2 linked regions of the Callithrix jacchus genome follow. The protein of the gene in region 2 purifies or fractionates together with the protein of the main gene of each other region. This does not show direct contact. Links are inferred from orthologs where the notes say so. Each region holds a gene or a part of one and is shown on either strand. Other genes may lie near its edges. The genes, in order: RBX1 and FBXW2.

Evidence for each region.
Region 1: the proteins of FBXW2 (region 2) and RBX1 purify together in Homo sapiens (affinity purification with western blotting; 3 studies listed by BioGRID and IntAct, with this or other methods). This does not show direct contact. The link is inferred for Callithrix jacchus from reciprocal best matches to the Homo sapiens genes FBXW2 and RBX1.

The regions. Positions count from the first base shown.
Region 1 is NC_133502.1:191,767,828-191,772,404, forward strand, and holds the start of RBX1 (E3 ubiquitin-protein ligase RBX1), read left to right. Parts: upstream 1-1,557; 5' UTR 1,558-1,578; coding exon 1,579-1,656; intron 1,657-4,092; coding exon 4,093-4,171; intron 4,172-4,577. UniProt on the Homo sapiens protein: E3 ubiquitin ligase component of multiple cullin-RING-based E3 ubiquitin-protein ligase (CRLs) complexes which mediate the ubiquitination and subsequent proteasomal degradation of target proteins, including proteins involved in cell cycle progression, signal transduction, transcription and transcription-coupled nucleotide excision repair.
Region 2 is NC_133502.1:169,203,256-169,207,765, forward strand, and holds the start of FBXW2 (F-box/WD repeat-containing protein 2), read right to left. Parts: upstream 3,005-4,510; 5' UTR 2,884-3,004; coding exon 2,808-2,883; intron 1-2,807. UniProt on the Homo sapiens protein: Substrate-recognition component of the SCF (SKP1-CUL1-F-box protein)-type E3 ubiquitin ligase complex.

The sequences.
Region 1 (4,577 bases), about 23 Mb from region 2:
GCTAAGAAAAACTCTGTAGGCTTCCTATAGCTCTTTAAGGTCTCAAACAATTTTTCAAGTCTGGTTAAAGCTGTGGTGGTGTTTTCCAGGATCTGCTGTTCCTGTTTATGACTAAAAGGGAAACAAATCGCAATTCTTTCACTGTTATTATTATTATTATTTTGAGATGGAGTCTCGCTCTCTCACCAGGCTGGAGTGCACTGGCACTACCTCGGCTCACTGCAACCTCTGCCTCCCGAGTTCAAGCGATTCTCCTGCCTCAGCCTCCTGAGTAGCTGGCACTACAGGCGCATGCCACCACACCTGGCTAATTTTTCTATTTTTTGTAGAGATGGGGTTTTGCCATGTTGGCCAGGCTGGTCTCGAACTCCTGACCTCATGTGATCCATCCACCCGCCTCAGCCTCCCAAAGTGCTGAGATTACAGGCATGTGCCACCATGCCTCTAAGAGTGATCTGGCAGTCACACCTCTGCAAGGTTAGAGATGTCAAAGGGAGTCCTGGTCTAGGCAGAAATGGGAGAGTGACACGAAGTACAGGTGCTTGTGCCGGGCGTGGTGGCGTACTCCTGTGAGTACTCACTGTGGGAGGCCGAAGTGTGAGGATCGCCTGAGACCAAGAGTTCGAGGCCAGCCAGGGCAACATAGTGAGACATTGTCTCCATTAAAAAAAAAAAAAGATCAGAATGCCTCACAAAATTCAAGAAATACAGTGACTTCAAGTGGGTTGGTTTCATTATAGCTCAAGCAGCAGACAGAGGACACGGACCGGGAAGAAATCACCCCACGCAGATGACAACTGAGGAAGGGGGAGTGGGGACTGACACGCTATAGTGAAGCCGGGCACCCCAACCAAAGGCGGTCCTAGGACTGCGACTAGGCGGGCGCAGAGGCCACCCCCCAGGCTTCGCGGGCGGGTGAGGGCAGGGCTGGGGGCCTGCTCAGTCTGGCCTTGAGGAGGGCCTTCTGAGGTCTCCCTTCTTCCCATCGAATCCCCGAGCAGTTCCCAAACAGAAATCGGAGACCAGACGGTGCCTGCGCTCCAGCCCTCTCAGGAGGACTGCACCTCGGGCCTGGCTACGAGGCGGGTCAGAGTCTGCGAAAGACCAGCGAGGGCTCTCGGGTTCTGGGGTAGGCGGCGGGTACCCACCCCCGCGCCTTCCCCAGCCCGCACTGGGAGCTGCGCGGCGACCCGGAGAGCCCGACAAGCCGGGTAGGGCTGCGGCGCAGGTCGTGCTCATGCGGAGGAAACAGCCGCCGCCCCAGCTGACGGAGTGTGGTCGGGGGCTTCCCAGAAGAGGCGGCGAGAGCAAACCCTTTCGAACATTTCCACCAGGCTAGCTCACGTAGCCTCGGCCCCGCCCCAGCCACTCCCGCCACCGCCCCCACCGGCCGACACGACGCGGGTGGGGCAATCTGCGCCAGCCCCTTTAAGAGGCGTGGTGACGTGCTCCGCCCCCACCTGCCTCTCGCGCGCCAATAAGGGGTGGGGTGTGGGAGGAGGTGCCGGGAGGCGGGGGAGTGAGGCGTGCACAGTTGCGCAGGCGCGGTGGTCGGACGACAGATCTTGTATTTCCAAAATGGCGGCAGCGATGGATGTGGATACCCCGAGCGGCACCAACAGCGGCGCGGGCAAGAAGCGCTTTGAAGTGAAAAAGGTTGGGTCTCGCCAGCACCTTCCTCAGGGAAGCTAGAGAGGCGCGGATCTGGCTGGCAGGCCCCAGGATGGTCGAGGCGCGGAGTAAAGGGTTTCATTTCAGGGCGTTCCTGGGACCGGGTACCACGAAAGGAAGCCGGGGGGCGGGTCTTAGAGTTGATCGGCGTGACGGTGGCCCACTGTCAGGGACGTGTTGGTTTCGCTGTGAGGCTGAGGGGCCAATCACGGAGCTGCTTATTGAGATACGCGGGGTTGCGATTTGGCGGCAGGAGCCAAGCGCTTGAGCTGTCACTGGAGTGGTCGAGGTGGGGGAAGGACAGGGTGGGGTAGGGTGGGTGAAATGGGGAGTCGGAGTGACTGCGGCGGTGGAGGATGGGGCAGTGCGGCGAAAGCTGGGAACAATCTGAGGTCGTACTGCATTGGAGGCCTCTGAGGGACCCCGCTGGTGATCTTGCCCCGCCCCTTTTTGAAGCTTGGGGTCCTCTCACTTTGAGGAATCCAGACTTGGTGCTCGCCGAACCGAGGCCTCCATTAACCCCATCTCTGGGCCTCACACCGTCTAAAGAGTCTGGAGTGTAGTGCTTGGCTCTTCTGAGACGTCTGTTGTCTTTTCACATAACCATCTCAGTCCTGGGTTCTCTGTCACGTCCAGAATCTCCCCCTTCCAAAATAAAAATAAAAAGCATGGTGGCATTTGTTAAGAAAATCCGAGCCCAAATCCTGTGGCATTTAGGGAGGGTTGAGTACTAGTCGTGAATGACTTGGTAAGAGTGGAAAAGCAAAAATGGAACGTGTCTTTTTATATGAAATGCCTTTTAGTGGTTTGCCACAGTTTGGGGGACAGTGTCGATTCCCACCTAACATGAAAGCTGTTCAAAATGGAGATTCTGAAATAGGGAAGATATTCCTGGAACATCTGGTTAAACACTGACATATCCCCCCTCCTAGTGCTTTTTGGTGTCTCATTGTGGCCACTGCTGCTCAGTTACAGCCAGCAGCCATATTGAAGAATAATAGAAGAGGGGCTTTTCCTCCAAGTTGAAACTGTGATGTGAAAAGTGGGAAAGAAGTTATAAGGCACTGAGAATGGGGTCTGAAAGTGATGAAGGTTTGGCAGTATTCGTAACTGAGGAAGCCAGAGTGGAATAACTGAAATGCCACTTTTAGTTAAACTCTTACTGGAATTATCTCAATACAAGACATAAAAGTTGGGAACATCTGTTTATTTTATGGTAAGAATCAAACAAAATTCTAGTGAATTCTAGAATTTGTTATAAAGTAATCTTCTAAGATTTAAGTGATGACCTTGGTCTGTGTACTGACACGGGTACTTAATTATCCAGCTTATCCCATGATTATCCATTTTATGGTCCCATGATCATCTTAGTTCATTCTGTTCCCTAGCTTTCACCTCACTGCTCATGCTTCCGGAGCTTCCTGGAAGAGCAGATACTCACTCAGATTTTGAGCTCTTCTGCAACTGCCACAAAAACCTGCACAGTAATTCAAGTTTGTGTTTATTAAGCCTACAACGGGCAGTTAAAAATTGTTCCTAATTTGTTTACATTGATACGGCTGACAATTATTTTATTTCATTTTTTTGAGGCAGAGTCACCCTTTTGCCCAGGCTGGAGTAAAGTGGCACCAATGTCAGCTCATTGCAACCTCTGCCCCCGAGGTTCAAGCAGTTCTGCCTCGGCCTGCCGAGTAGCTGGGATTATAGTCAACTGCCACCATGCCCAGCTAAGTTTTGTATTTTTACTAGAGATGAGGTTTTGCCATGTTGGCCAGGCTTGTCTCAAATTCCTGACCTCAGGTGATCCCCTCGCCTCGGCCTCCCAAAGTGCTAGGATTATAGGTACAAGCCACTGTGCCTGGCCACTAACTAAATTGTTTTATTTTATTTTATTTTGAGATGGAGTTGTGCTGTTGTTACCCAGCTTGGAGTGCAATGGCACGATCTCGGCTCACTGCAACCTCCGCCTTCTGGGTTCAAGCAATTCTGCCTCAGCCTCCCGAGTAGCTGGGACATCAGGTGCGCACTACCGTGCCCAGCTAATTTTTGTATTTTTAGTAGAGACAGGGTTTCACCTCGTTGACCAGGATGGTCTCGATCTCTTGACCTTGTGATCCACCCGCCTCAGCCTCCCAAAGTGCTAGGATTATAGGCGTGCTCCTGGCCAAAGTATTTTAAACTATAAGAAACAAAAGATGACTCATTAATTTCTGTGTTGACATACGCAGCCTTTTGGAGAATGGGAGAACATACGTGTAGTCTACCGTTGTCCTTTGATATAATAAGAATAATGTAATATCCAGAAACTTGTGTTTGGTGGTTCCCCATGGCCGAAGAGGTGGTAACTGCAGCTGCAGCATGAAGTCGTAAAGAGTGTGTGTTACAAGGAGAATGCATTGTTCCCTCTTTTTGTCTTTGCAGTGGAATGCAGTAGCCCTCTGGGCCTGGGATATTGTGGTTGATAACTGTGCCATCTGCAGGAACCACATTATGGATCTTTGTAAGTAATTGGAGGAGGATGGGAGAAAGTTGAGAAGGTTACAGAGATTGTGGCTATCTTGATGTGACCAATTTTCTTCTTCACAAGGAGATAGAAGCCTATGCTGAGCACTCGGTCTTCTGTATCTAATCTGTTGATGTGTTGGAAATAGAGTAGTTTTTTTATGATGTCCTGGAAGCATACCCAGCTCTCAGAATAAATCTACTCAATCTAAAGATGGCAGGGACACATTTAGAATGAATTGTGGACAACAGGCACTATTGACTCTTCCTGGGTATCTCCCCTCTTGTACCTAGACTCGAAGGTAGAAATAGTGAACAGAGGAAAATAAACTTTGAGCTAAAATGTTCTGTCTGAGGCCAGGCACATTGGCTCACTTTGGGAGGCCAAGGTGGGTAGATCATGT
Region 2 (4,510 bases):
CAGGAGTTCGAGACCAGCCTGACCAACATGATAAAACCCCGTCTCTACTAAAAATACAAAAATTAGCCAGGCGTGGTAAAGTATGCCTGTAATCCCAGCTACTCGGGAGGCTGAGGCAGGAAAACTGCTTGAACCCAGGAGGTGGAGGTTGCATTGAGTTGAGATAGTGCCACTGCACTCCAGCCTGGGCAAGAGAGGCAAGACTCCATCTCAAATAAATAAATAAATAGCTACAAGGCAAATTTAGAATACCTATTAAAATATTATCAGGTTCTCATCATCCACAGATATCTAAGAGACATACTACAACATGCTAAATTAATGTGTCCATGACACCACTAAAGATTATGGACAGTTTTTTCAGTGAGCACCTTTAAAAAGCTCGGCCATGTCTGAGATTCATATATTCTCCTAACTCTTAATAAAAAAATTTTTCCCAACTCTTAGATTGCCTTTAAAACCATTCAATCTCTTGTAAAACTGAGCAGTTCACCTCTGATTATTCTGAAAAAAGCATTTTTTTTTTCTTAATAAAGGAGGTCTCACTAACTGCAGAATGCACTATTTAAAAAAACCAATTGTTTCTTTTCTAAAAGGATCAACTAACTTTGGAGGGAGCTTTCTAAGGTAACAGGTCTCAACTGGACTCTTTTAGACAGTCTCTAGAAATACCATATACTGGTTGCACAAACATCAGGAAATGGGATTTCAATTAACATGAGAAGCTTTTAAATCTCAGTGCTTTCCAACAATAGAATAGCTGCCTCCAGAGCAGTGAGTTTCCCATTACCACAAACAGTCAAGGACAGCTGGACACACAGGCAGAATGTGATAAATAAAAATGCTTTGGAGGTCGAAATGCTTTACTGATTCAGCCACTTCCTATGTGATTATGGGCATGTCCAACTAACTTCTAAGCTTCAGTTCTGTCATCTGTAAAACGGAAGCTTTCATCTAACTTGAAGGGTGGAACTCAGAAACATAGGAGGGACATGCTTAGCACAGTGTACACACTCTAGAGGATTAAAACTCAAATGATACTTTTTGTTAGTTTTATTACTATGATTACCTGGCAGGCAAGATTTTTGTGACACTGAGGCTGAACTAGACATGACCACTACCATCTTCTTCAACCCTATCATCACAAAGTTTCCCTTAAAAACACCTGGAAGAGGTGGTCTGAAGGTAGTCAGTTATCTCAGTTGATTGTTCACAGTCAGTTACAGACCGAACTCCTTGTTCTACTCTTTCCCTCCTTCTCACTACTGCACTTGATTAGTCTTTAAAAAAAAAAAAAAAAAACCTGGAAGAAAAACTCAAGGGCTCAAACTTACTAGGGGTTTAATTTTATAATGAAGAGCACTCATTTGTTTATTAGAGGCTCTAGTTTCCCTGCAGGTGCCTTATACTAGCCACATTCCCTGTTGTTTGCCCCCTTGCCCCAAGCCCCTATCTGAGAGTTAAAACATTCAACTTGCCCTCTTGCTTTCAGTATCAATAATCACAAACCTCTGAGGAAGTGGGTCATGTAACAAAAAGACTCCTAAATTGGAAGATGAGAGCCTGGGGTTAGTCTCCCTCAGGTTCTGCCATTATGTTACCTTAGGCAACTGGCATATTTATGTTGCTTTTATTTAAAGAAAAAGTATCACTGGTAAACATTATCTCATTTGATCTTCATAACCTCATGGAAGGTATCAATAATCCCACCCTTACCTAACATAATGAGGAACTTTATGGCTCAAGAAGTAGAATGGCTTTCCCAGAATGGCATAGGAAGTAGCAGCCTCAATATACAATAGCCTCAAAACCTACACTCTGAGTTATTAGAGAAAGAACCTTCTGGATAAAACAGTGTAGGCCAGGCGCGGTGGCTCATGCCGGTAATTCCAACACTCTGGGAGGCCGAGGCTGGCGGTCACGAGGTCAGGAATTCGAGACCAGCCTGATCAACATGGTAAAACCCCGTCTCTACTAAACACACACACACACACACACACACACAAAATTAGCCGGGCGTGTTGGCACACACATGTAACCTCAGCTACTCAGGAGGGTGAGGCACGAGAATCGCTGGAACCAGGGAGGCGGAGATTGCAGTGAGCCGAAATCGCGCCACTGCACTCCAGCCTAAAGAGCGAGACTCCGTCTAAAAAAAAAAGTATAAATACGTTTTCCCCTCCTACTCCATCAGAACCTGGCCTAGTCAAGAGTGCAAGCAACGTAATTGTTAGTGGCATACCGAAGGAGGTTTCCTTTCCCCCCCTCTTTTCCTGACAAAGAGTACAGAGGCTTTAGAAATGTATACACATGTATAAATTTACATCTGCATAAAATGTAATCTGAATATTCAAAAAACTGATAACTCTGGTTGCCTCCAGAGAGAACTGGGGAGCTGGAAAACAGGAATGAGGGGTCCCTTTTCATTGTATATTTTTAAAAACTGAGAACCACATAAGTATAATACACTATCAAAAAACAGCCTTTAGTTTTAAGGTGAATTTTTTAAAGCTTTGAAAGAATACAAATAATGTTTATAAAATACGGGTTCTGCAACTCCACTTGTTGCTGGGTGACCTTGGGCAAATCACTTTACATGCCTCACTCCCTGTTTCCTCACTTGTAAAATATAGCCACGAAGAGCATTACCTACAAGGGTTTTTATGAGGGTTAAACAGGACAGTGCACGTAGAGCGTTTAGCACAGTACCTGGCACACTGCAAGTCTTCAGTAAATGTCAGTTAGCATTATTATTTAGCATTAATAGTTACCTTTGCTTTAATTCGAGAAGCACCACACATACACACCTGTTTCCATGGCATACCCACAATTATCGCGCAGTACAGCGCTTTGTACTTCATAAACCACCTCATCACACTTCATCTTTCAAACGCTTGGTAGCCCTGGGACATCACAGTTAACTCATTTCGCAGCTAAGGAAATGGAAGCACTAGGAGGCAGTAACTCCGAAACCCTATTTTCCCATTTCTAAAATCCAGATCCCAACAACCCATTCGTCGCTCCCAGGTCCCTCGCTCCCGGAATCGTGTTCCGCGCGGCACTGACCTGAGCGAGCGCCCCGGGGCCCGGGACCTCGCGCCGGGTTCACAGCTACCAGGCGCGCTCGGGCCGCCAGAGCCTCGCAGCGGCCGGGTCCGCTCCGCAGCCATGGCGCCTGCAGGGAGAAAAAGACAAACCGCCAAGGCGCGGCGGGTCAGCCGAAGCGCGGGCGCCTGAGAGTCCCCTCCCAGACCGGCTCCGCCTCGCATACAAACCTGGACCTGCGGCCGCCGCTCCCGGTCCGCAGCCTCACAGGGGAGCGGCTTCCGGTGCTGCCTACGTCATCTCCACGCGTCCGTCAGCCCCGCTGCGCCCGGCGGAAGCGGCTGTGCTTCCGGTCCCTGGCCCAAGGGGGGAAGGTGGGAGGTGGTGGGTTGTGGGAGGCTGGAGGCCGGGAGTCGGGGTTGGGGAAGAGCGTCCTAGGAAGCTGGGCGCGCGTTGCGCGGCCCCCAGGGTGCTTAGACTGGGTACAGACTAGAGCAGAGCTTCCCTTCGTACCCATACATCCGGGTTTGCACAGCGCTCTTATGTCCCTCCTCCAATTCAATCTTGCACCAACTGCAGTTTTTCTTTTCTTCACTTTACGGAGAGGGAGCTGCGGCTCAGAGAAGTTAAGAGACGTGTCCAAATTCATACAACCCGTTGAGCACCTCTTTTATCCGGAATACTGTTTTGCGAGTAAGTTTAGTGAACAAAAAACACAAAAATTCCTGACCGCCTGGGACATCTATTAGGAGGAGGAAGACCGATAAATTAAGTAAGGCATCTGTGATGTGCTAAGGAGAAAAATAAAGCAGGGTAAGGAGGTTGGTGAATGAAAAAAGACAGTCAGGTGACATAGATTTGAATGAATCGCAGCATTTACACTCTGGCTGTCGCCTGGGTACTTTACCTCTCAGATTGCTTCATCTGCATAGCAATTATAGTAAGCTACCCACCCGAAGTGTCTGAGGATTTAAGGAAATGAAGTATGCAAACCTTTTAGCGTCAGGAACTAAAACTGAGCTAAATTTCATGCACTTTCTCAACATTTTTTGTGTACCATCTCAGTTCCCACAACAACCCCACAAGCTAGTTACTATTATTAGGCCCATTTTTAGAGATGGGGAAACTGAAATCAAAAGATTTAGGCATTTTGCCTAAGGTTATAGTAAATGGCTGTCATAGGATGTCAACCCAAACCGACTTCGGAGCACAAGTTATCCCCCCCACCCTTTTTTTTTTTTTTTGCTGAGGCAGAGTATCACTCTGTCGCCCAGGCTGGAGTACATACAGTGAGTACAGTGGCACGATCTTGGCTCACGGCAGCCTCGACTTCTCCAGGTTTAAACGATCCTCCCACTTCAGCCTCCAGAGTAGTTGGGACCACAGGCGCGTATCACCATGTCTGGCTGTCTGTGTGTGTGTATTTTTGTAGAGGCAGGGTTTCGCTATGTTGCCCAGGCTGGTC